Macaca mulatta: one gene and its partners. The protein of the gene in region 2 binds, or shares a complex with, the protein of the main gene of each other region. Links are inferred from orthologs where the notes say so. Each region holds a gene or a part of one and is shown on either strand. Other genes may lie near its edges. The genes, in order: SNRPD2, SNRPD3, PPIL2, PRPF3, GEMIN5, SNW1 and TXNL4A.

The links.
Region 1: SNRPD3 (region 2) and SNRPD2 share a complex: the UniProt entries of both Homo sapiens proteins name them as parts of the SMN-Sm complex. The link is inferred for Macaca mulatta from reciprocal best matches to the Homo sapiens genes SNRPD3 and SNRPD2.
Region 3: SNRPD3 (region 2) and PPIL2 share a complex: the UniProt entries of both Homo sapiens proteins name them as parts of the minor spliceosome. The link is inferred for Macaca mulatta from reciprocal best matches to the Homo sapiens genes SNRPD3 and PPIL2.
Region 4: SNRPD3 (region 2) and PRPF3 share a complex: the UniProt entries of both Homo sapiens proteins name them as parts of the U4/U6-U5 tri-snRNP complex. The link is inferred for Macaca mulatta from reciprocal best matches to the Homo sapiens genes SNRPD3 and PRPF3.
Region 5: SNRPD3 (region 2) and GEMIN5 share a complex: the UniProt entries of both Homo sapiens proteins name them as parts of the SMN-Sm complex. The link is inferred for Macaca mulatta from reciprocal best matches to the Homo sapiens genes SNRPD3 and GEMIN5.
Region 6: SNRPD3 (region 2) and SNW1 share a complex: the UniProt entries of both Homo sapiens proteins name them as parts of the minor spliceosome. The link is inferred for Macaca mulatta from reciprocal best matches to the Homo sapiens genes SNRPD3 and SNW1.
Region 7: SNRPD3 (region 2) and TXNL4A share a complex: the UniProt entries of both Homo sapiens proteins name them as parts of the U4/U6-U5 tri-snRNP complex. The link is inferred for Macaca mulatta from reciprocal best matches to the Homo sapiens genes SNRPD3 and TXNL4A.

The regions. Positions count from the first base shown.
Region 1 is NC_133424.1:58,224,554-58,226,607, reverse strand, and holds the end of SNRPD2 (small nuclear ribonucleoprotein Sm D2), read left to right. Parts: intron 1-302; exon of another isoform or gene 303-437; coding exon 438-617; intron 618-1,253; coding exon of another isoform or gene 1,254-1,279; coding exon 1,280-1,454; 3' UTR 1,455-1,554; downstream 1,555-2,054. UniProt on the Homo sapiens protein: Plays a role in pre-mRNA splicing as a core component of the spliceosomal U1, U2, U4 and U5 small nuclear ribonucleoproteins (snRNPs), the building blocks of the spliceosome.
Region 2 is NC_133415.1:28,770,555-28,774,712, forward strand, and holds the start of SNRPD3 (small nuclear ribonucleoprotein Sm D3), read right to left. Parts: upstream 2,801-4,158; 5' UTR 2,783-2,800; coding exon 2,657-2,782; intron 1-2,656. UniProt on the Homo sapiens protein: Plays a role in pre-mRNA splicing as a core component of the spliceosomal U1, U2, U4 and U5 small nuclear ribonucleoproteins (snRNPs), the building blocks of the spliceosome.
Region 3 is NC_133415.1:31,327,311-31,331,281, forward strand, and holds the start of PPIL2 (RING-type E3 ubiquitin-protein ligase PPIL2), read right to left. Parts: upstream 2,801-3,971; 5' UTR 2,710-2,800; coding exon 2,678-2,709; exon of another isoform or gene 2,635-2,677; intron 1-2,634. UniProt on the Homo sapiens protein: Has a ubiquitin-protein ligase activity acting as an E3 ubiquitin protein ligase or as an ubiquitin-ubiquitin ligase promoting elongation of ubiquitin chains on substrates.
Region 4 is NC_133406.1:116,802,743-116,806,242, forward strand, and holds part of PRPF3 (U4/U6 small nuclear ribonucleoprotein Prp3), read right to left. Parts: intron 2,072-3,500; coding exon 1,988-2,071; intron 1,773-1,987; coding exon 1,552-1,772; intron 1-1,551. UniProt on the Homo sapiens protein: Plays a role in pre-mRNA splicing as component of the U4/U6-U5 tri-snRNP complex that is involved in spliceosome assembly, and as component of the precatalytic spliceosome (spliceosome B complex).
Region 5 is NC_133411.1:163,768,470-163,771,969, forward strand, and holds part of GEMIN5 (gem-associated protein 5), read right to left. Parts: intron 3,324-3,500; coding exon 3,186-3,323; intron 2,124-3,185; coding exon 1,976-2,123; intron 35-1,975; coding exon 1-34. UniProt on the Homo sapiens protein: The SMN complex catalyzes the assembly of small nuclear ribonucleoproteins (snRNPs), the building blocks of the spliceosome, and thereby plays an important role in the splicing of cellular pre-mRNAs.
Region 6 is NC_133412.1:150,941,480-150,944,594, forward strand, and holds part of SNW1 (SNW domain-containing protein 1), read right to left. Parts: coding exon 3,072-3,115; intron 772-3,071; coding exon 654-771; intron 1-653. UniProt on the Homo sapiens protein: Involved in pre-mRNA splicing as component of the spliceosome. As a component of the minor spliceosome, involved in the splicing of U12-type introns in pre-mRNAs.
Region 7 is NC_133423.1:1,024,140-1,028,093, reverse strand, and holds the start of TXNL4A (thioredoxin-like protein 4A), read right to left. Parts: upstream 2,801-3,954; 5' UTR 2,747-2,800; coding exon 2,594-2,746; intron 1,098-2,593; exon of another isoform or gene 985-1,097; coding exon of another isoform or gene 949-984; intron 1-948. UniProt on the Homo sapiens protein: Plays a role in pre-mRNA splicing as component of the U5 snRNP and U4/U6-U5 tri-snRNP complexes that are involved in spliceosome assembly, and as component of the precatalytic spliceosome (spliceosome B complex).

The DNA of each region.
Region 1 (2,054 bases), on a different chromosome or scaffold from region 2:
TCAGCACTTCGGGAGGTCGAGGCGGGTGGATCACGAGGTCAGGAAATCAAGACCATCCTGGCCAACGTGGTGAAACCCACTGTCTACTAAAAATACAAAAATTAGCTGGGCGTGGAGGTGGCGCGCGCCTGTAGTCCCAGCTACTCAGGAGGCTGAGGCAGGAGAATCGCTTGAACCCAGGAGGCAGAGGTTGCAGTGAGCTGAGATCGTGCCTCTGCACTCTAGCCTGGCAACAGAGCAAGACTCTGTCTCAAAAAAAAAAAAAAAAGAAAAGAAAAAGAAAATGTCTGTTAGGCATCCAGCTGGTGATACTCAGAAGGCCAAACAGGACGGATGTGATGGGACAAGGCTGGGGAGACATTGAGGCTGAGGCCCTGACCACCCATCCTCACAGCTCCAGCCTCTCTCACTTGTGGGTTCCATGTTTATCCATGCAGGAGCCTCCTCAACAAGCCCAAGAGTGAGATGACCCCAGAGGAGCTGCAGAAGCGAGAGGAGGAGGAATTTAACACGGGTCCACTCTCTGTGCTCACTCAGTCAGTCAAGAACAACACCCAAGTGCTCATCAACTGTCGCAACAATAAGAAACTCCTGGGCCGTGTGAAGGCCTTCGATAGGTGAGTGCTGGGTCCTGGGAGGTGTTCTGTGCAGGCCTAGAGAGGCTGCCCTAGCTCCAGTCTGAAGAGCTCAAAGACAGGTTTCTCAGACGCCTGGGGTGTATGGCCCAGGGTGGTGGCTCATGCCTGTAATTCCAGCACTTTGGGAGGCCAAGGCGGGTGGATCACCTGAGGTCAGGAGTTCGAGACTAGCCTGGCTAACATGGTGAAACGGCATCTCTATTAAAAATATAAAAACCGGGCGTGGTGGTGCACACCTGTATTCACAGCTACTCAGGAGGCCGAGGCACGAGAATTGCCTGAACCCAGGAGGCAGAGGTTGCGGCGAGCTGAAATCGCACCACTGCACTCCAGCCTGGGCAACAGAGCGACACTCTGTCTCAAAAAAAAAAAAGAAAAAAAAAGATAATATTCAACGACCTTGTGAGGAAGGTACTGTGATTGTCTTCCCTCTTAAAGATGAACAAACTGGCACAGAGAGGTGCAGTCCTTTGCCTCAGCCTCAACCTAAGGACTGGCAGAATTGGCCTTGGCAGCTTGGTCATCCAGCCTAGCACCTGCATCCTTCCCCAAGCCATGCTGCTGGAGGGGGCGAGCAGCAGGCAGCGCTGTCAGAGGCACCCCCCTCACACCCAGTGCCTCCCCTCCCTGTTCCCCACCAGGCACTGCAACATGGTGCTGGAGAACGTGAAGGAGATGTGGACTGAGGTCCCTAAGAGCGGCAAGGGCAAGAAGAAATCCAAGCCAGTCAACAAAGACCGCTACATCTCCAAGATGTTCCTGCGTGGGGACTCGGTCATCGTGGTCCTGCGGAACCCGCTCATCGCCGGCAAGTAGGGGCTGCCTATCCATCGACAGAACTCACTCTCTCGTCCTATGAAGACCATTGCCATTGGTGTTGAGAATAATAAAGCTCTGTGGTTTTTTTCTAGTGGTATGTGTTCCCAGAGCCTTGTGAGTGGGGTGGATTCAGGAGGGCTTGGGGGAGGCAGCTAATATCAAATTGAATGCTGGGACCAGGACCCGTGAGCAAGTGGAGAGGCCCTGGCTCTGCCCCATCGAGGCCTCACTTTCCCCCTCCGCAAAGCAAACAGGTTGGATGGAAATGAGCACCCAGTTGTGGCACTGGAGAATATTTTAGTTCTCCTGCTTTAATCTTTCTGAGCTTCGCCTTGTCACTCTGTTGCTCTCTTCTCTGCCTCTTAAAATGAATTGGCCTCGCTTGACCAAAATATCTTTTGGGGCCAGGCATGGTGGCTCACGCCTGTAATCCCAGTAGTTTGGGAGGCTGAGGCGGGCAAATCACCTGACATCGGGAATTCAAGACCAGCCTGGCCAACATGGTGAAATGCTGTCTCTACTAAAAATACAAAGATTGGCCAGGCGCAGTGGCTCACGCCTGTAATCCCAGCACTTTGGGAGGCCAAGGCGGGTGGA
Region 2 (4,158 bases):
AAAAAAAAAAAAAAAAAAAAAAGGCAAGCCGGGCATGGTGGCTCACATCTGTAGTCCCAGCACTTTGGGAGGCTGAGACAAGTGGACCACAAGGTCAGGAGTTCGAGACCAGCCTGGCCAATATGGTGAAACCCGTCTCTACTAAAAATACAAAAATTAGCTGACATGGTGGCAGGTGCCTGTAGTCTCAGCTACTTGGGAGGCTGAGGCAGGAGAATCGCTTGAACCTGGAAGGCGGAGGTTGCAGTGAGCCAAGATCGCGCCACTGCACTCCAGCCTGGGCGACAGAGCAAGGCTCCATCTCAAAAAAAAAAAAAAAAAACTTTATTAAAAAAAAAACTTTATGTTAAGAAAAGTCATTAGAGTGGGCCCTATTTCTACATGCCTGGTATCCTTATAAGAAGAGATCTAGACAGAAACACTACAGAGTGAAGACCAAGTGAAGACACAGGGAGAAGAGAGTCATCTATAAGTAAGGAGAGAGGCCTGGAACAGATCCTTCCTTCACATCCCTCAGAAGAAATCAGCCTTGCCAACACCTTGATCTCAGACTTCCAGCCTTCAGATCTAGGAGAAAACAAATTTGTGTTGTCTAAGCTGCCCAATCTGTGAAACTTTGTTATTGGCAGCACTAGCATACAAATACAAGCAGGGAGGCAGGTGGCTGCCCCCCCACCATTGGTCAGGCATGTGACATGCATCTACTCATTTCTTCTGCACTATGGTTCCTTCTGAAGCCAAGGAGCTATTTTTATCCCTGACTTAGAAGAGGGACCAGAGGACGAAGGAGGTCCAAAGCTCACCCCAAGTCACCCTAGGTGGCAGGCTGCAAGCTGATTCCAGGTCTGTCTGACTCCAAGTTCTGTGCACTTTGTGTCACGTGGACTGCATCTCTGAATGGCCACCGAGGTTATCTGGTTAGACACCTTCATGTTATGGATGGGATGACAAAGGCCCTGGAAACCCAGCAGGTTGTCCAAATACATATAGCTAGATGACAAACCCATTAAGATTCACTAACCCAAGTCCTGCATTCTCCTCACCAAATTAAAGTACCTTAAAGTGGATGAGCATGCCTTAAGCCAGAGGTCTGGATATATGAAAGAGAGATGATAAACCTATCTACTGTCAATAGATAAACTGATCTATTGACAATGATGCAATAAACCTGAGTCACCAGAGGTCTACTTCTCTGCATCCAGGGAACTGACCAAGCTTGTCAACCTCGCAGGAAGATGATAGACGCTCAAAGCTACAGAAAAATCACAAATAAATGAATGGCGCAAACCAATAGATGGTCAGGATACCTGACCGTGGTGTAAGACGCTTTACCTCTCTGACCTTCTCATCTGGAAAAAAGCAGTAAACACCATACGTTGAACACTTACAGTATGTGAGGCACCGAGCAGCTATTGCACACATATAGCTCATCTGATCTTTGTAAAAGTCCTGGGGGTGTGGATATTATCCCTGTGGCAGTCTTAAGGGTGTGCTGCTCAGATCTCCCTCCAAAAGAAAACAGGCTATGAGGAGTGAAGGCAGCCGACAATCTCCATCTTTGCAGTCCACCATGGCATTCAACTTGGGGAGAGAGACTGTCTCCCCAGGCTGCCAGCCAATGGAATGAACACACCAGGGGTGCCAGTCTGCCCATTTCTGCCCCATGTTAGATTCTTCTAATGAGCAATCACTGCCTTGCTGAGACTTCCTCAAAACTACACTGTAGTCTAAGGTTCTTCCTGCTCAATCCTCCTTCTTTCCCCTCTCGTTTCACCAGTCAGACCAGCATCACGGACTGAAAATTTCCCTGCCTACTACTGTTTCCTTGTTCCTTTATCCTTTATTGTCATTTCCCCCAATAAATACCTTGCATAATTCTGTCTTGGCATCTACATCAAAGAACCCAAAATAATAACACTCCCGTTTTACAGATGAGAAAACTGAGTGATTAATACATCTAAGGTCATATAATTAGGAATCAAACCCACATCTCTCTCTGACTCCCAAGTCCAAGTTCTTAACCAATGGTTTAAAGAACAAAGAAAGTGTGAAGATACAACTGAAAAACAATGCTATAAAAATTCAGATGACTATGCAAAAGGCAAAGCTGCGCCATGAGAAGGACACCGTATCAAGAAACTACTCCATTATTTACTATCAGAGTGATGAGTCCTTTAATCTCATTCTCCCTATTTTATGGATGACAAGACTACCACCAAACCTGCTTACCTCACAAGGTAGTTGCAATAATCAAATGAGACTCCTCCTCCAAGAGAAAAGGGAAACAAACACAGTATGTGAGAAGATTCTCCTAACTGCAAAGCAAGTGGAGGCAAATGGATAATGGCTCTGAACCTGAAGGATTCTACTGAAGGAACTTCTCCCAAACAGGTCCCCAAATTTGGGGATGGAAAAAACAAAAAAGGCGAAGTAAAATATTCCAAATCTCCAAATGGCTTTTCTGCCTCAAGACTATGTGTTTTGTTCATGCCCACATCCCCAGAGCCTATAACAGCACCTGACTGGTATGTGTTAGGCACTCAGGAAATCACTGCTGAATGAGAACAATTTACAGAAGACCCCCAACCCACACCTTTCTGTCCTTCAAGACACAGGGCCATTCCTCCCACACAGCCTCACATGCAAAGCAGAATACCTGGCAGTTCATGTTGTCCTCTGCTTCAATGAGCTTCCCCCGATATACCTCACCGGTGTTCGTCTCACATGTCACAATGTGGCCCTCGGCCTCGTGCAGCACTTTAATTGGCACACCAATAGACATCTTGGCAGGAAGAGAGCTCTACAGTGAAAGAGACAACAGTCAGTTCATCTTTCAGAGTCTGAGAAGGCATGCGGCACACGTCATGCCTCCTTCAAGGCCTGGCACTCCATAAAACTTAGCAAAAACGCCAAAGCTGCATTTTCTATCAAAGAAAAAGAAAAAAGAAAGCTCAGCTCCTGGCTTGGAGGAAACTATCTGGCAAATATGTGCAAGATGTCGGGTGAGGAGGAATGGTGGGGTGGACAGAAGTAAAAACAGGAATGAAAAGAGAGCATCTCCCATCGACCATGTGTCCCTGCTACCCTATGTCCCTTAATCTTCAGCTAAAGGACCATTAGCGAATACTGTGTGTGTAGGGGAGGGGGATTGGAATGTTAATCTGTTGCACTGTTATTTGTCAACCCTTAATTGTAGATTATTACATTTTGACAATCATAACACAGGCCTGAGCTGTCCAATACAGTAGCTCATGTCCACATGTAGCTATTTAAATTAAACTTAACTAAAACACAATAGAATTAAAATAAAAAACCCAGTCCCTCAATCCCAGTGGCCATATTCCAAGTGCTCAACAGCTACATGTAGCTGGTGGCTACCCTACGGAAGGAGCAGATACAGACCTAAGGACCATGCATATCTAGGAGAGGAGACTGTACTTTTAATGCAGCTCTTTAACCCTTCCCTTACTTTACCATCAAGGATATTGAGAAAATATCAAAGTGACAACGTGCTATATGCAGGAAATGCCCGTCATGGAGGAAAATAAGGGAAAGCACCTGACTTGACCTAATTAAAAGCATCAAGTAGTGAACTTTTTATTGACATGAGCGACGACTCAAAGTTGGAACCTAAGTGCACCTAAGACAGGAGAACATGAGGTTGAAAAGACAGGCTCCTTTGGTGAGGATCCCTGGCTTTCAGCCTTAGGAGCCTAGATTTTATGCTGAAGATAGTGGGGAACCACTGCAAAATTATAGGTAAAGAATGACACAATGAAAAGGTAGCAGCATTTATTTACAAAATGGATCTAACGTAAGGTTTAGAAGCAGAGAAACTTGTTAAAATTTCTGCAACAGTTAAAACTGCTGCAACAGTGTGGAAAGCATGACGGGACCACTGCCTGAAAGGGAGCTGGGGGCAGAGATGCAAAGAACTTTTTAAAAAATGACCGGCTGGGCGCGATGGCTCACGCCCGTAGTCCCAACACTTTTGAAGGACGAAGCCGGTGGATCCCTTGAGCCCAGGAGTTCGAGACCAGCCAGGGTAACATGGTGAAACCGTCTCTACTTTAAAAAAAAAAAAAAAAAAAAAAACCCTCATAGGATTTGACTTCAAGATTCAAAAAACTCATAGGAAATGACTTCAAGATTACTGCC
Region 3 (3,971 bases), about 2.6 Mb from region 2:
AAAAGGATATAGTTTATTCTTTAGGCGTAGGGGTGGGTAACTTAACCAGGGAAGTTGTCTGGCATGACTATAGGTTCTATTTATAATTTGGTATCTTATTGCCACAAAGAGTCTGTTTCATCAATCTTATTTCTATTTCTTTATTTTTATTAAAAATTAGCCACCACGCTCGGCTAATTTTTTTTTTTTTTGTATTTTTAGTAGAGACGGGGTTTCACCATGTTAACCAGGATGGTCTCGATCTCCTGACCTCATGATCCACCACCTCAGCCTCCCAAAGTGCTGGGATTACAGGTGCGAGCCACCGCGCCGGGCCCCTTTATGATCTCTATTTCAACGTTAATGCCAGTCAGTTGTTGTGTCTGGGCCACAAAAGGGAGGAAGATATAACAAGGTACAGCTGACCTCCATCGCATCATGGCCAGGAACTCAGTTTTAAGGTTTTCCTGGAGTTCTCTTAGGCACAAGGGTGTCTGCTCAGCCAGTAAGGGGATTTAGGATTTTATTTTTAGCTTACAGGGAGGAGCAGGCTCAGGAGCTGAAAATCAAGAGTTCTGTTTAAGGCATATTAAATTTGAGGGCACGGTGGCTCATGCCTGTAATCCCAGCACTTTGGGAGGCAGAGGCGTGTGGATCACCCGAGGTCAGGAGTTTGATACCAGCCTGGCCAACATGGTGAAACCTGTCTCTACTAAAAATACAAAAATTAGCCGGGCATGGTGGCAGGCGCCTGTAATCTCAGCTACTGGGGAGGCGGAGGTGGGAGAATCGCTTGAATCTGGGAAGTAGAGGTTGCAGTGAGCCAAGATCGCACCATTGCACTCCAGCCTGGGCAACACAGCAAGACTCCATCTCAAAAAAAAAAAAAATTGAGGCCGGGCGCGGTGGCTCAAGCCTGTAATCCCAGCACTTTGGGAGGCCGAGACGGGCGGATCACGAGGTCAGGAGATCGAGACCACAGTGAAACCCCGTCTCTACTAAAAATACAAAAAATTAGCCGGGCGCGGTGGCGGGCGCCTGTAGTCCCAGCTACTCAGGAGGCTGAGGCAGGAGAATGGCGTGAACCCAGGAGGCGGAGCTTGCAGTGAGCCGAGATCGCGCCACTGCACTCCAGCCTGGGCAACAGCCTGAGACTCCCGTCTCAAAAAAAAAAAAAAAAAAAAAAAAAAAAAAAAAATTGAGATGTTTATCAGTCCTCCAGTGGAGATATCAAGTAAGCCACTAACTACACAAGACTGGGGAAAGCAGCTTATAGATGACTGGGAAATTATATCACTCACAGAGAATGTTTATGGAAAAGAAACCTATGAGATCTGAGAAAAGGGAGGAGGGTCCAGAAAGGAGGCTGGGAAAAGAGAGGCCGCTGAAGTCGATGGAAAACAAAGAGCACAGGAAATCTCAGATACCAAAGGAGGGCTTCAGAAGGAGGGAGTGGTTAACAGTGTGACATACTGTTGAGAACCCCAACAAAATGAGGACTGAGGCTGCCTGGCGCGGTGGCTCGCCTATAATCCCAGTACTTTGGGAGGCCAAGGCGGGCGGATCACCTGAGATCGGAGTTCGAGACCAGCCTGACCAACATGGAGAAACCCCCTTCTCTACTAAAAATACAAAATTAGCCGGGCCTGGGGGCACATGCCTGTAATCCCAGCTATTCGGGAGGCTGAAGCAGGAGAATCGCTTGAACCTGGGAAGCGGGGGTTGCGGAAAGCCGAGATCGCACCACTGCACTCCCCAGCATGGGCAACAAGAGCGAAACTCCGTCTCAAAAAAAACACGAGGACTGAGGATTGAATACTAGAGTTAGCAACAAGAAGTCGCTGGCAACCTGACAAGGGGCAGTTCTGGGATCGAAATTCTGACTTGAGTGGTTTCAAGAGACTCAGAAAACAGCATGAAGCCACGGGTCTCTAACTTGTTCTGAAATCACGGCGGCAGCAGGAGGGGAACGCGGGGCACGGGGCATAGGCGGATTTTTTTGTTTTATTTTATTTATTATTTTTGAGACAGAGTCTGGCTCTGTCGCCCAGGCTGGAGTGCAGTGACACGATCTCGGCTCACGGCAATCTCCGCCTCCCGGGTTCAAGCGATTCTCCTGCCTCAGCCTCCCGAGTAGCTAGGATTACAGGCGCCCGCCACCACGCCCCGCTAATTTTTGTGTTTTGGGTAGAGACGGGGTTTCATCATGGTGGCCAGGCTGGTCTTGAACTCCTGACCTCAGGTGATCCGCCCGCCTCAGCCTCCCAAAGTGCTGGGATTACAGGTGAGCCACCGCGCCCGGCCTGGTTTGCTTTAAATAGGAAGGCTCTGCAGCACGTGTGCAGGCTGATAGGCATGAACCAGAACACAGCCAGACGCGAAGTACGGAAGAGGGAGAGACTACAGGGGCAAAGCTCGCGAGCAGACGGGGCACGGTCCGGGCAGAACTAGAGTAAAGAAAGACCGGGCTGCGCTCGAGCCCGCAGCTGACGTCTTCGGAGCCGCGGCCCCCTGGGAGAGCGCGGCGGCCCGAGGGTCATTACCCTGACTGGAGAGACGGTGGCAGCTTCCGGGAGGAAGTGACTTTTGGGCTGGGCTCTGGGGACCAGCTGAGAGGGAAGGCGAGCGGCGAGCAGGGCGGGACAGGCGGTTTACTGAGGCAGAGCGGAGCGCCACTCCCGACTGCGACTCAACTTACATCTTGTCCTTCTGGTGCTGTCGCTTCCCCATGGCGGCGCGGCGGCGGCGGCAACTACCTAGCACGAAAAAGCAACCGCTGACCACTCAGACCATGGAGCCACGGCCGAGTTTCGTGACCACTTCCGGGTTCCGCGGCTCGCCCCGGAAACAGGCGCTTGGCGTGCTGGGAATTGTGGTTCGCTAGCGCCAGGTGCGCATGCTCGGAAGGATCGCCTGCCCAGTATGGGGTCCTAGCTAGGTGTGTTGTGTCTCGCTGGCGCCTTCTCGGGGCAGAGCTCCCTCAGCCTCGAAGCCCCATCTTCTCGAAGGGTCTCTCCCGACCGCCTCGCCTGCCCCCCTCAGCCACGGCTCAGGGCCATTCCCATACTGGGTTCTCAGGTCTTATTTTATTTTCGAGACAGGATCTCGCTCTGTCGCCCAGGTTGGAGTGCAGTGGCGCAATCACAGCTCACTACAGCCTCGACCTCCCAGGCTCAAGCGATTCTCCCACCTCAGCCTCCCGAGTAGCTACGGGCACGCGCCACCACACCCGGCTAATATGTTAATTTTTTGTAGAGACAAGCTCTTACTATTTTGCCCAGGCTGGTCTGGAGCTCTTGAGCTCAAGCAGTCCTCCCGCCTTGGCCTCCCAAAGTGCTGGGATTACAGGCCTGAGCCTCCGCGCCCGGCCAGCGCTCAGGTCTTTTTCAATGTCCTCCTAGAGCTTCAAGTCTCATGAGCCTCCACCCCATCCTTTCCCGCCTCCGTGGCCGACTCCTTCAAAGCCATGTACCACCCTCGTTCTACTCGCTCACTTCTCATTCTCTCTGCATATTCCGTCCGCACCGCCTCCAGGCCCCTTGGAGGCCCAGCAGCAGGTGGCCATCAAGCCTAGAGGTCCAAAACCCTGCCTGATCCCTTCCTTCTCTTCTGCCAGACTCTTGCCTTGGGTCAGAACAGTACCTTGGGCCCCCAACTACACTCAGGCCCGGGGTAATCTTGCCTAGGCTCCTAATTTTAAACGCCATTTATATCCCATGACTCCCAATACTAAGTCACCAGTACTCCAGGTTCCTGATCTCCACTTGGGTAGCCGCTGATCTCAAATTTAACATGTCTGGACGGACGTGGTGGCTCACACCTGTAATCCCGGCACTTGGAGAGGCTGAGGCAAGCGGATCACTTGAGGTCAGGAGTTCAAGACTAGCCTGGCCAACATTGCAAAACCCTGTCTCTACTAAAAATACAAAAATTAGCCGGGTGTGGTGGCGGGTGCCTGTAGTTCCAGCTACTCAGGAGGTTGAGGCAGTGAG
Region 4 (3,500 bases), on a different chromosome or scaffold from region 2:
CGAGATCACGCCACTGCACTCCAGCCTGGGCAACAGAGTGAGACTCCCTCTCAAAAAAAAAAAAAAGACGGGCCGGGTGCGGTGGCTCAAGCCTGTAATCCCAGCACTTTGGGAGGCCGAGACGGGTGGATCACGAGGTCAGGAGATCGAGACCATCCTGGTGAACACAGTGAAACCCCGTCTCTACTAAAACTACAAAAAACTAGCCGGGCGAGGTGGCGGGCGCCTGTAGTCCCAGCTACTCGGGAGGCTGAGGCAGGAGAATGGTGTGAACCCAGGAGGCGGAGCTTGCAGTGAGCTGAGATCAGGCCACTGCACTCCAGCCTGGGCGACAGAGCGAGACTCCGTCTCAAAAAAAAAAAAAAAGATGATAAAATAATTCTAGGGAACAATCTCATCAGTGAGTAATACCATCTTTCTTTTGAGACATGGTCTCACTCTGTTGCCCAGGCTAAAGTACAGTGCCATAATCACAGCTCATTGCAACCTCAACCTCCCAGGCTCAAAGAAATTCTCCCACCTCAGTCTCCTAAGTAGCTAGAATTACAGGCATGCTCTACCATGCCTGGCTAATTGTTGTATTTTTTAGAGAGATGGGGTTTTGCCATGTTGCCTAGGCTGGTCTTGAACTCCTGAGCTCAAGCAATCTGCCAGTCTCGGCCTCCCAAAGTGCTGGGATTACAAGTGTGAGTCACCACGACCTGCCAATAACATCTTGATTAAAAATATCAAAGTAGATATTTCAGCATACAAGACCACCGAAAGAAATGAGTTTATAAATTATATGAATTTACAATCCTATCTTTCTTTATCCCTGAATTCTTACGTCAGTCATGGGATGCCAGACCAACTGTAGATGCTAAAAAAAAAAAAAAAGTGTAACATCTTTGACCAGTTGCAGAGGAACCTCAGATCTGATCTCACATAATGTGCTTTAATGGATAAATCTGAGTTTGAAACCAGGAAGGAAACCTGGCTCTATTCAGAGCTCCAATATCAGATGAATAACCTTAATCTCAGTTATATCAATCATAAGAAGATAATAAACCCTGCAACAACAGGGAAGCCAAGAGAAAAAATTCAACTGGTTAATCAATCACACATAAGAAATATGGAACTGTGAGAAATGATCTAGGTTCTGTGGAAAAAGAGGATCAGTAATTTTTTTTGTTGTTGTTGTTTTTGAGCCAGAGTCTCCCTCTGTCACCCAGGCTGGAGTGCAGTGGCACGATCTCAGCTCACTGCAAACTCTGCCTCCTGGATTCAAGTGATTCTCCTGCCTCAGCCTCCCGAGTAGCTGGGATAACAGGCATGCACCACCACATCCAGCTAATTTTTGTATTTTTAGTGGAGACGGGGTTTCATCATATTGGTCAGGCTAGTCTCAAACTCCTGACTCCTGACCTCAGGTGATCCACCTACCTCGGCCTCCCAAAGTGCTAGGATTATAGGCCTGAGGCACTGCGCCCAGCCAGATCAGTAACATTCAAAGGTATTTATTGCTTCTCAAACTTCAGAAATGAAAAGGTATTCCATGAAATAGACACTCACGGGGGAGCAATGCCCATGGCATGGAGATTAGCCAGGCCCACCATGTTGGCATTGCCGATGAGTCCTGGCTTCAGTGCCAGCTGGGCTTGGATTCGAGCTTGTAGTTCAGCTGCTTTCCTTGCCTTCTCAATGGCATCATTCATGAAAGTGGCAGCCTGGGAGGGCTGAATAGTGTTGCCAATTGGAAGTCGCTCTGGTTGGGAAGAAGAAGGAGTCTTTGGCTGTGAGATAGAGTAAAAGAAATCAGAGGCATTAAGACAGGCAGACAAATACACGTATGCATACACACAGATACACACATACACATCATGGTAGACTGTAGTAGATGATTATGAAGTAAAACATGCAGTCACCTCTTCTGGTCTGTCATTTTGAGTGGATGGCAAGAAATTCTGTGCCAAAGACTATTGTCTTCAGAGTAATCTAGACACAATACCTGAGGTGTAGGGGGGCTAATGAAGCTCAACTGTTTTTTCCTCTCCTCAATTTGTCGTGTTGCTGCCTCCATCATCTGTTTGATCTGCTCTCCAGGAAAAAAATTGAAAAACTGTTAATTTCTCCTCTTTACTACTCCCATTCAGGTTTTTAAACCCACAAGGCTCTCAGGTCTAGACACTTAAAATTTTTTGAATATACCACATACTGTCTACCATAGTGCAAAAAATTTAGTCAAGATTAAAGTGTGCACTGGAATTTTTCAACCCAAGTTCCTAAGGCAAGATTGGCATATTAGGTAGCAATACAATGTGATGACTGAGACTCTGGAGTCAGAGAAACCTGAGTTTGAATCTTTTTTTTTTTTTTTGAGACGGAGTCTCGCTGTGTCGCCCAGGCTGGAGTGCAGTGGTGCGATCTCGGCTTACTGCAAGCTCCGCCTCCCAGGTTTACGCCATTCTCCTGCCTCAGCCTCCAAGTAGCTGGGACTACAGGCACCCGCCACCACGCCCGGCTAGTTTTTTGTATTTTTAGTAGAGACAGGGTTTCACCATGTTAGCCAGGATGGTCTCGATCTCCTGACCTCGTGATCCACCCACCTCGGCCTCCCAAAGTGCTGGGATTACAGGCTTGAGCCACCGCGCCCGGCCCGAGTTTGAATCTTAACTCTGACACTTAATGCCTTTGTTATCTTGGATAAGGAACTTAGTCTCTAAACCTCCTAAGCGTCTAAAAGGGAGGATAAAAACAGTACCTACCTTATAGGTCTATTGTAACCACTTAAATAATGCATGCAAACCTTACAGAACCTACACAAAATATTATGCTTAATTTTTTTTTTTTTTAATTTTTGAGACGGAGTCTCACTCTGTGGCCCAGGCTGGAGTGCAGTGGCGCAATCTTGGCTCACTGCAAGCTCTGCCTCCCGGGTTCACGCCATTCTCCTGCCTCAGCCTCCCAAGTAGATGGGACTACAGGCACCCACCACTACACTCGGCTAATTTTTTGTATTTTTAGTAGAGATGGGGTTTCACCCTGTTAGCCAGGATGGATTTTGTATTTTTAGTAGAGACAGGGTTTCACTCTGTTAGCCAGGATGGTCTCAATCTCCTTATCCGCCTGCCTTGGCCTCCCAAAGTATTGGGATGAAAGGCGTGAGCCACTGCTCCCAGCCTATACTTAATTTTTTTAAAAAAATCATGATATTAGTACTTGAACTACTAGTTTGAGAAACAAGAGACGATGGTGCAAAGACCTGCTCCCTAGTCTCTATAAACCCCTTCTGTCCTAAAGAAGTTCAGAATGATAAGCTTTGAGGGTATAGTCAAACAACTCCTCTTGCATTTTGCAAAAAGAGCTTCCAGATATTTTTAAAAATTTGTCTTTAACATTTTTTCTTGAATAGGTGATATTCAAAATTCAAAAATTACAGAAGGGTCAGGCATGGTGGCTCACGCCTGTAGCACTTTGAGAGGCTGAAGTGGGTGAATCACTTGAGGTCAGGAGCTGAAGAC
Region 5 (3,500 bases), on a different chromosome or scaffold from region 2:
GCGCAGCCGGGCCTTGGCAATTGCAATAGCTTCCCTAAAGGCAAGAATAGACACTTTAGCCAATCTGAAAAGGCTCCTCTGTGTATGGCCCTAGGAGGGGCTGTAAGACAGGACAAATTGTCCCTTTTGCGTTCTTATTGTTTCAACTTCCTTTAAAAAACTGCACTTGCATTAGATAGACAAATTACAAACACATGCTTCATTCGTTTCTTCACTTAGATCAGCAGTTCTTAAATTTGTGGTCTGTGGATTCCTAGGGGGTCCTCAAGAACCTTTCAGAGGGTTCATGAGGTTATAACTATTTTTGTAACAATGCTAAGAGTCAGTTATGTGTTGTTTATTAAAAAAAAAAACTGTGTTGACATTTGCACTGATTGTGCAAAAGTAATGGTTGGTAAATTCTGGCATCTAAGAAAGAAGGCAGTGGCTCTTATAGTGGGAAAAAAGGGAGAATGCCCTTAATGAAGCAGTAAAAATTATGAATTTTACTAAATCCCTCAAGTCCAAAACACTTTAATATATTGTGTGTGACAAATGGGAAGAACATTTTGTGTTCTCTGCTGCATTCCAAAGTAGGATGGTTGTCTCCAGGAAACACCTGTATGAACAAATTACAAGCTAAACTGGCTGTTTTTTTCACAGAACCTGCTTTCTTCTAAAAAAAAAAAAAAAAAGACTAACCACTTCATTAAAAACAACCAACAGTATTTGTTACTAATGATAAAATGTGAGTTTTCTAGCAAAAATTAGAATTTTAGAAAACTTGTACGTACCACTTGTGTGCTTGACAGTTTCCCATAAGTTAGAATTTTCTGATGAGAGTGACGGTGATAGTAAGGAATGTGACATTTTTGGGTATTTTATAATAAGATATGTTAACATTTGGATCTGTACAACTCAGTAAACAAATATTTTTCAAATGACATACAACTGCTGAGTTGTAGCCAACATAAAGTTGTAGCTGGGGAAAAAAGTGTTTTATTAAAGTGATCTAAACAGAGCAATATTTTGAAAGTATTTTGGGACTTCTACTTCCAGCTATGATGGAATAACTGGGATCAGACCTACCTTCCTGCCATAAAACTAAAATACTGGACAAAATGTCTGAAACAACTGTTTTCAGACACTGGGTAACAGGCAGCACAGGACAGTAACCCCTAAGAGAACAGAAACAAACGATGGGAACCCTATCTGGGCACTGGCTTTCTGCCCAAAGCCATTTTCCTAAAGAAAACCCAAGCAAAACCTCAGCGGTCTCTGAGTTGAAAAGAGGAAACAATGGCAATCTGAGGGGCAGGATACTAGGAAGGAGGAAGTTGTCCAGAGAAAGACATCCATATTGAGTCTTTGGCTAAATTCAAAGCCACGTATGTAAAGGAAACTCCATAAGTCTAAACAAAGAATGACTAGGTAACTGTAAGCTGAACAATTACCAGAGCTTACTCAGGACCTGGAGACATCTGAGTTTTGACTTGTTGAATGCATAAGGCATTCAATAAAGATATCAGAATGTAGGAGGTCCAAACTAATTCTAGAATATGATAAACTTGCCCTAACAAAGTTTAAAAACAAGCCATGAAAAGATCAAGCTGATATACAACTTTACTACTTGCCAAAACAAAGTTCAACACTCTCTAAAGGAAGACAACAAAACCAAAGCAGGGTAGGACAAAAAGAAAATCTTGGTTAAGCATGGTGGCTCATGCCTGTAATCCCAGCATTTTGGGAGGCTGAGGCAGGAGGATCGCTTGAGCCCAGGAGTTGGAAATCAGCTTAGACAACACAGCAAGTCTCCGTCTCTACAAAAAACTAAAAAAACAGCTGGAGGTGGTGGCACACACCTCCTGAGTAGTCCCAGTTAGGGGGCTGAGGCAGGAGGACTGTTTCTTCTCTTTATGTTACTTTAACAATAGAGAAGTTTAGATTACTTTCACATTATGTCCAAGTATTATCCCAACTCTATGACTACACATACCTGTAAAAATGGTTTGACTTGAGCAGCTCCACAGCTTCATACACTTTGTGGATGGAAAGTAGGTGAGAAGCAGCCTTGACATACTGATCCTGAAAACACAGCTGTTTGGCAAAAGCTTCCACAGCCCATAGCCACACATGGTAGCCAGCTGAAAAAATAAAAGATGGTGGTTAAAAAACAGTTGAAGAGAAGTTAAAAACAAAACCCAGTATATTTGGGTTGAAAAGCTTTGTTTTCAGTCGATGCATTCAGCAGAACATTTAGATACCAATTCAGCCACCACTACGGATGATCTGCTTCATCTACACATTCTGAAACATCAATTGTTTGATTATGTAACACAAACAAAACAGTACAAAGTTGAAAAGATACAGAAAGGAATGTGTGAGCACAGTTAGATAAATTCCTATAATTAGAATTGACGAACCAAAGGTAACATGCTTACGTGCTTTTTTTTTTTTTTTCTCTTTCCTTTTATTGTTTTTTGAGACAGGGTCTTGCTCTGTGGCTCAGGCTGGAGCTAAGTAGCACAATCATGGCTCACTGCAGCCTCAACCTCCCTGGGCTCAGGTGATCCTCCCACCACAGCCTCCTGAGTAGCTGGGACTACAGGTACATGCCACCATGCCCAGATAATTTTTTTATTTTTTGTAGAGATGGGGTTTTGCCATGTTGCCTAGGCTGGTCTCAAACTCCTGGGCTCCAGCGGCCTGCCCACCTCGGCCTCCCGAAATGCTGGTATTATAGGCATGAATCACCACACCCACCTTTTTTCTTTCTTTTTTAAAGAGACAAAGGTCTCATGATGTTGCCCAGGCTACAGTACAGTGGCTATTCACAGGCACAATTAACAGTGCCCTATAGGTCTGAATGCCTGGCCTTAAGCAATCCTCCTGCCTCAGCCTCCAGAGCAGCTGGGGACTACAGACTTGTGCCATTGTATCTTTAAAATTTACTAGACATGGCCAAATTGTCCTTCAAGAAGTTCTCACCAATTATGCTTTTGCCATTAAAGTGTCAGTGACCTGCTCTTTTTCACAGGGGTTGGGTTGGATTTACGAGTTTGTCTACTGCTGCAAACAGGATTAGCATTGTATCTATTTGTAAGTGATTTCAAGCTTAAGACTGGTACTGCCAAGAGCCATCTTTAGTGGACGTATCCCAGAGATGATAGAGTTTTTACTGAAAAGAACAAGCACGAAAACCATACCCGCTGGTGCCATAGCCACAAGGTTGTCTGTCAGCTCCCCTCTTTCCGCTGCGGTTTGGAGAACACCTTTGAGATCTCCTTTCCAAAGCATAAGCTGGTGAAATAACTCAGGGTGGCCATTTTCTAAGTGACCTTTTCCTGTTTGAAAGAGAGATAATGTTTGGAAGGTGTTTCGGAAACATCTATTACTGACTTGTAGAAAAAGATAAAGCAAGATAGAAGAGAAAGTGGGCTCCTAAAATATGCAGTCATTCTCTGATAGGTGTCACCTACCAGAGTGATTACAAAAGGATGTGAAGCCCACTCGGTCACTGT
Region 6 (3,115 bases), on a different chromosome or scaffold from region 2:
GGCACAATCTTGGCTCACCACAAGCTGAAGCAATTCTCGTGCCTCAGCCTCCCAAGTAGTGAGGATTACAGGCATGCACCACCACACCTGGCTAATTTTCGTATTTTTAGTAGAGCTGGGGTTTCACCACATTGGCCAGGCTGGTCTCAAACTCCTGACCTCAGGTGATCTGCCGGCCTCCAAATGTGTTGGGATTATAGGCAAAAGCCACCGTGCCTGTCCTCCCTGGTTCTATTTTAAAAACAAAAGATTGACATACCACAGCACCAAGTTGTTTTTTTTTTTTTTTTTTTTTTTTTTGAGACAGAGAGTCTCGCTCTGTCGCCCAGGCTGGAGTGCAGTGGCTCAATCTCGGCTCACTGCAAGCTCCGCCCCCCGGGTTCACGCCATTCTCCTGCCTCAGCCTCCCGAGTACAGCACCAAGTTTTTAATCAGCTAATTTCTTTCTTCTCCTAGTGTCTCAAATTTCAGTCCACTGTAAGAAGTTAAAATCAGAACTGTTTCATCTTTCTTGTCTCAAGTTTCAACATACAACTTCCAATTTTTTTGTCATCATGCTGGCATTTACATCCAAATATGAAGTATGGTAATTTTCGTTTCCCTGAGGATAGGTATTCACATCAACACAACAATATGCTTTCCTAAACTTGTACCTTGGATTGGTTGAAGAGCCTTTGGTCATACTGAACTTCATTGGAAGTCCGAGGATTAGGAACACCGAGAGCAATGACTTCACTGATATCCCGATTTTCATTTCTCTGAAGTTTCGACCTATTTTGAAATACGACATCACTAACTGAAAACTCTTTATAGACAAACTGAGTATGTTCAATAGAAATACAACCAATCTCAGAAGCAAAGGACATGAATATGTCACATTCACATCTTGAGAACGTATATTCCTTGATAATACATAATCAAGTTGGCAGCCCTTATAAAGCATTTCAGATTAGAGGGAAGAGTTTTACAATTAGGACATCCTGTTAGCTCAAAAGAACATCTAACAGATTCGTTGACATGGAATTCTTTAATATAAGCAATCACCTTACAACCATACTGAGATATAAAATTGCTATGGTCTATATTTACTATCATATGATGGTTTGGGGGTTGGGGAAGTGGATACAATTTAGATGTAGCACAGGAATCATTTTAAATAAGCTAGAAACAGCTCTTTTATCTAACTACATTTAATAATTTTATCCCACTAGAATTTTGAGGAAAACATGTCAATGACTGAAATAGTTAGTATGATTTTTGACATTCAAATTAATTTGGTTTCCTGGCTGTTTCATTATACATGCAATCTATATCCCAATGAAACCATGGTAACTGTCATTACTTATTTTACTAAAAACTCAGGTCACAAAATGATTTCTACAGGCTATTTGATTTTCATCCAGTTACAATTTTACAGCTTTTCTATGTTGTCAATTCTGATGGCCACTTTACTGGTTTTGAGGGCCCAATTTATCCACAGAGCCATTGTAACTTTTACAACTTAGGAATTACTAACCAAGACTGTCATTAATTAAACACTTTCACACTTTGCTCCTCCTTCTACATGTACGTTACCCTCAACTCAAGAGTAAGAGTCTCTGCTTCTCTATGACGTCATTTATCCAGGGAGATGAAATATGCCAATTAACACCAGCAGGAATCTTTTTAATGCCTATTTATTTTTATTTTTGAGATACAGTCTCGCTCTCACCCAGGCTGGAGTATAGTGGCACGATCTTGGCTCACTGAATCCTCTGCCTCCAGGGTTCAAATGATTCTCCCACTTCAGCCTCTCGAGTAGCTGGGACTACAGGCACATGCCACCACACCCAGCTAATTTTTGTATTTTTAGTAGAGATGGGGGTTTCACCATGTTGGCCAGGCTGGATGAACTCCTGACCTCAAGTGATTCGCCCGCCTTGGCTTGCCAAAGTGCTGGGATTATAGGTGTGAGCCACCGTGCCCAGCCTCTTTTTTGTGTTTAAAATATGACTTGAAAAATGTATTAGGCTCATGGGATGATCAGAGCATAGAAAACTGTTCCTTTGGGAAGAAAATATTTTATATTTGCATTTAACCCTCACTCAGAATTCTACCTTTGTATTGCAGCATTTCCTCTACTTTTCAGAACTTTAAGTCCTCAGCCTTTGGTGAGCCATAAACTTCCCCAATCCATACTTTATGCCCTTGTATATGTATTTAGTTTGTTCCATACATTTATATTTACTAAAAGTGCTTTGCAAATTTTCTCAAATTATTTTATGGATAGCTCTGTCTTTCTGAACTGTAAGTTAAACTTCTGTTAAGAATGAGCTGATTTTCACTTCTTTCAAAACTGCTCTTCTCAATTGCACTAGATGCATATAAAGTACTATGCATATAAAATGATCTCAGTAAAAGCATGACAGCTTATTTCCTGTCTAAAGAGGCACATAATCCATTTGTCTCACCATTTAAGGTAGGAAAAGAACCGACTATAACAGTCCAAATTTACTACTACATCCTTTTCAAAAATCTGATCTCAATTCTGTTTTCCATATTCCCATCATTCTCAATTCTGACTTAAGTGATGGAAGAAAAGATTAATTCCAAAGACAGTCAACTAGAGCTAAGACAAAGTTAAGTATAAGAAAATTAAGTGCTAATGTATTAAGTTATCAAACTGAAGAAGAAAGGGAGAGAAGCAAAACTGATCTTAGTGGACTAAAAACTCTGCTCTAAAAGGTACAAAAAGGCCACTCTTCATGATTGGTACCTATCTTTTTTTGTGTGAGACGGAGTCTCACTCTGCCCAGGCTGGAGTGCAGTGGCGCCATCTCAGCTCACTGCAAGCTCCGCCTCCCAGGTTCACACCATTCTTCTGCCTCAGTCTCCCGAGCAGCTGGGACTAGACGCCCACCATGACCACGCCCGGCTAATTTTTTGTACTTTTAGTAGACATGGGGTTTCACCATGTTAGCCAGGATGGTCTCGATCTCCTGCCCACATTGGCCTCCCAAAGTGCTGGGATTACAGGGGTGAGCCACCGCGCCCAGCCTCCATGATTGGTACGTATCTTAAATAACACCTACCTCTTATCAGGAGCTGCCCTGGAAAGATTCCGGTCATGCTGTCT
Region 7 (3,954 bases), on a different chromosome or scaffold from region 2:
TGTTTCCAGACTAACTTTCTTCCTGAAGTTCACAGCTCAGCTCTAACCCAGCATGAGGCCAGTGGGCCTTGTGGAAGCAGCAGATCAATACAACACATCCAGGAAAAAATCGTATCAAGTCCAGCCGAACATCTGCAACTGTTACTCACTTTAAAACAGCTGGGACATCGACAGGACTCTTAACAAGATAAGGAAGATTCTCCATTATCTGCCATTTCTGCACAGGGAAATTTTTAAATAGTTATATTGTTCTTTATACTAAAATCTTACATTTCAAAAATTTCTGTTGAGTTTCCCCAAAAGAGCTTCCAGAATTAGAAAGTCATATTTTGCCCATATACTAAGAAGAAAATAAAACACGAATAGTCTTTTAATGCATTTCAGGTTTGCACTTATTTTTGGAGACAGGGTCTCACTCCTGTTGCCCAGGCTGGAGTTCAGTGGTATAATCATGGCTCACTGCAGCCTTGACTTCCCGGGCTCAGGTGATTCTCCCACCTCAGCCTCCCAAGTAGCTGGGACTACAGGCATGTGCCACCACGTCTGGCATTTGTACTTTTAGTAGAGAACGGGTTTCACCATATTGTCCAGGCTGGTCTCGAATTCCTGGGCTCAAGTGATCTGCCTACACTAGCCTCCCAACCAAAGTGCTGGGATTACAGATATGAACCACCGTGCCTGGCCTAGGTTTGCGCTTTTAATAATTATACTATAATATTTGCATTAAAAGTTTATTAATAAAGCAATCCAAATTTTTGGACAGAAACAAAAATCAAACTATTTTAAAAGACCAAAAAAAAAAAAAAAATACCCCAAAGTGAGCCCATTTCAACTGTCCTTAAGTGTGTGTCCACTAGTGATACAGTGATTCATTCTGTAATAACAAAGAAATCGGACATAAAGGAATTGGAAAAAAAGAGCAAATCTGGCAAAGACCCTAACACTTACATTAACACATAAAATCTGTTTCCTAGCTAAGAGCATCTTGCTGAGCTCTGCCTGGATGTGATGAGACAAAGGCCCTCACATCGCCAGCCATCCTAGCCTCGAGCTGCCGGCAGCAGGATCTGAACACCAGCTGATGTTTATGCCACCACCTGCAAGGTAGAACAGTGAAAGATTCTAGAACTCGTAACTCAAAGTCAGTGATTTACAAGCAGTGATTTACTTATTGGGAAACTGCTCTTCGTCAATTCTTCGCTGGATTTCCAGTATCTGCCCTTGTCCACTACAAGTCAAGCAATGAAAAGCTGATGTGCTGGCACTGCCTCACTCATCATCTCTAATCCCTGGCTGGCAGAAGCCCCAGTGTGAGAGAACTGCTGCTCTCCTGATTCCCTAGGCAGCTCCTCAAGTCCTCAGTGTCCTGCTGTCCAAGAGGAAGAGGCTGGGAGATGGCTGGTAATAAAGCACTCCGCCTCTGTCCCTGACCCCCATGGAAGGGTTTCTGAGTGTGTGGTTCAAGGTCAGGTCACATCAGAATTCCCTGAGGGGCTTCTTTAAAAAGCCATTGCTGGACTTCACCCCACACCCATAGACTCAGAATCACAGATGCATTTTAGTAAGCACTCCAAGAGATTCTTGTAATAACTAAAATATAACAACAGTTCCTAACATCACACCTCTCCTACTAAATAAGAAATAGCAAGAATTAATAAATGGCAGGCCAGACAGTCTTTCCTTTCCTCAATATAAAATGTCTTTATATCTGTTACTCTTTACTCAAAGGAGTTATTTTAACCCAGCCTACTTTAGCATCTGTGAAAGAAAAGATAGCTTCAATGTTACTTTTACTCTTCATCAAAATGAATAACCGCTCAAATTACTTACGGAAAATTAATATGGCAAATATTTTATTAACACCCTAGTATTTGTGCCCTTTGCCCTATTGCTACAGCTGCAAAACCTAAATAAACGCCATCCTAAAATTGCTGTGAGGAACCACAGAAAAAGAATGAAACCTGGTTATAGTGTCCCACAACTTTTATTGTCAGCAAGTAAGTGCCAAGGCCACTCAATGTACTAATATTAGAAATTCAGAAAACTAGTTCCAACAAAGCATAGTTCTATTTTCTCCCGATGTTTTCTGCATCTTAATCACTCTAAGCTATAAATCACATGACTTACAAAAAGCGCGGTGGAAGAAAACACCAACAGAAAAACAGGATTTCTTATGCTATTAACATGAAAGTTCTGCTTTACACATACAACAAACAAACAGGGCACCAGAAAAGGGCATCCTTTTAAATTAAGGATCTGCGCTCTCAAAACCTGCAAGTGTTACTTTGTTCACTGCACTGTAAGATTGGGAAAAACGCCTTACCAACAGAAATAATGAATTCCTTCGAGGGGAGGGGGATCATAAACCCTTTAAAACGTGAACAACTACAGGAGCTCCCTGCAGAAAAAGGCGCGAAACGCCGGCACAGTCCCCGAGAGCGCTCGCCCGCAGCGCGGGAAGGAATCGCCCGGACAACCGCGCCGCGGCCCCTCCTCGGGGAACGGCTCGCGCCCCCAGGCGAGGCCGGCGGGGCAGAGGCGCGGGGCCGCTGCGGAAGCACAGCCAGCAGGGCGGGAGGGCCCGGCGCGCTACCTTCTCGGCGATGCTGTATAGGACCTCGTCCATCTTCATGCAGGTGGGGTCCCAGTCGTGGCCGAAGCGGATGACGACCACGCGGTCCTCCTCGGAGAGAATGGCCTGGTCCACCTGCCAGCCGTTGTGCAGGTGCGGGAGCATGTACGACATGGCGACCCGCGCGCTCGCCGCCGCCCGAGGCCGGGCGCCAGGGAGGGCCCAGCGAGGTGGTGGGCTCAGCCGGCCCCTCACTCCGCGGCCCCCGCCGCCCCCGGGCCCACAGCCGAAACCCGGTCCCACCCACACCCGCAAGCTCCGCTGGCACTGCCGCCGGGCGGAACCTCTGGGCGCGCACGCACCGACGCCGTGCGTGCTGACGTCATGCGCACGGGCTGGCGCCGTGCGTGCTGACGTCACGCGCGTACAGACGCCGCGCTAGCTTGTCGTTGGCCGGCGGGAGCGGCGGCGACCTGGCCACGGTGGAGCGCGGTTGGTGCCCTCCTAGCCGGCGTCGGAGTGGGGGTTCCTCCCCAGCGTCCAGGCGGCCTGGTGGTCCTGAGAAGCCCCGGGCTCGCCGTGCCCTGCCCCGACGCACCCGCCCCGAGGCCGCCCGCCGCCGCCCGGGCTGTCCTCCAGCCACGGATGGGGACGTCTTCAGAAAGGCCCGGCATGCCCGGCACTGCGGCTCGTTTTTTTCCTTTCTGGTGTCTGTTTCGGGTCATCGTTTGTGCTGTGTGTTAGCGAGACGGTTCGTGTGTGTCATTTGTGAAACTTGACCATAAAAATGTGTCGTTGTTGCCATACCCAGCCACGGCAGAGCCGAGCAGCGGGGTGGGGGGAAGCACTGGGCAGGCCGTCCTTGAGGAATGTCACCGTCAGGCCGGCTGCTGAGCTGCCTGTTGTAACCCGAAACCAGAGTTTTTGTCTTTTTATAAAGAAAAAAAATTTTTTTTGAGACGTTGTCTCGTTCTGTCGCGCAGGCTGGAGTGCAGTGGCGTGATCTCGGCCCACTGCAGCCCCCGCCTCCCGGGTTCAAGCGCTTCTCCTGCCTCAGCCTCCCCGTAAGCTGGGACTACAGGCGCCAGCCCGGCTAGTTTTTTTGTACTTAGTAGAGACGGGGTTTAACCATGTTGGCCAGGCTGGTTTCGAACCCCTGACCTCAAGTGATCCGCCCGCTTCGGCCTCCCAAAGCGCTGAAATTACTGGAGGAAGCCACCGCGCCCGACCTGAAGCCAGTTTTATTGCATAGCTTCAGCATAACTTGCACCTCCAGGACTGATCTGGCTCCCCCGGCTTCGCTCCCCAGACCCTTACTGGTGCCTATGAACTTTCTCCAAGAGAAATAATATTTCTCTTTTTAAAATAAAACCTCTAATCTC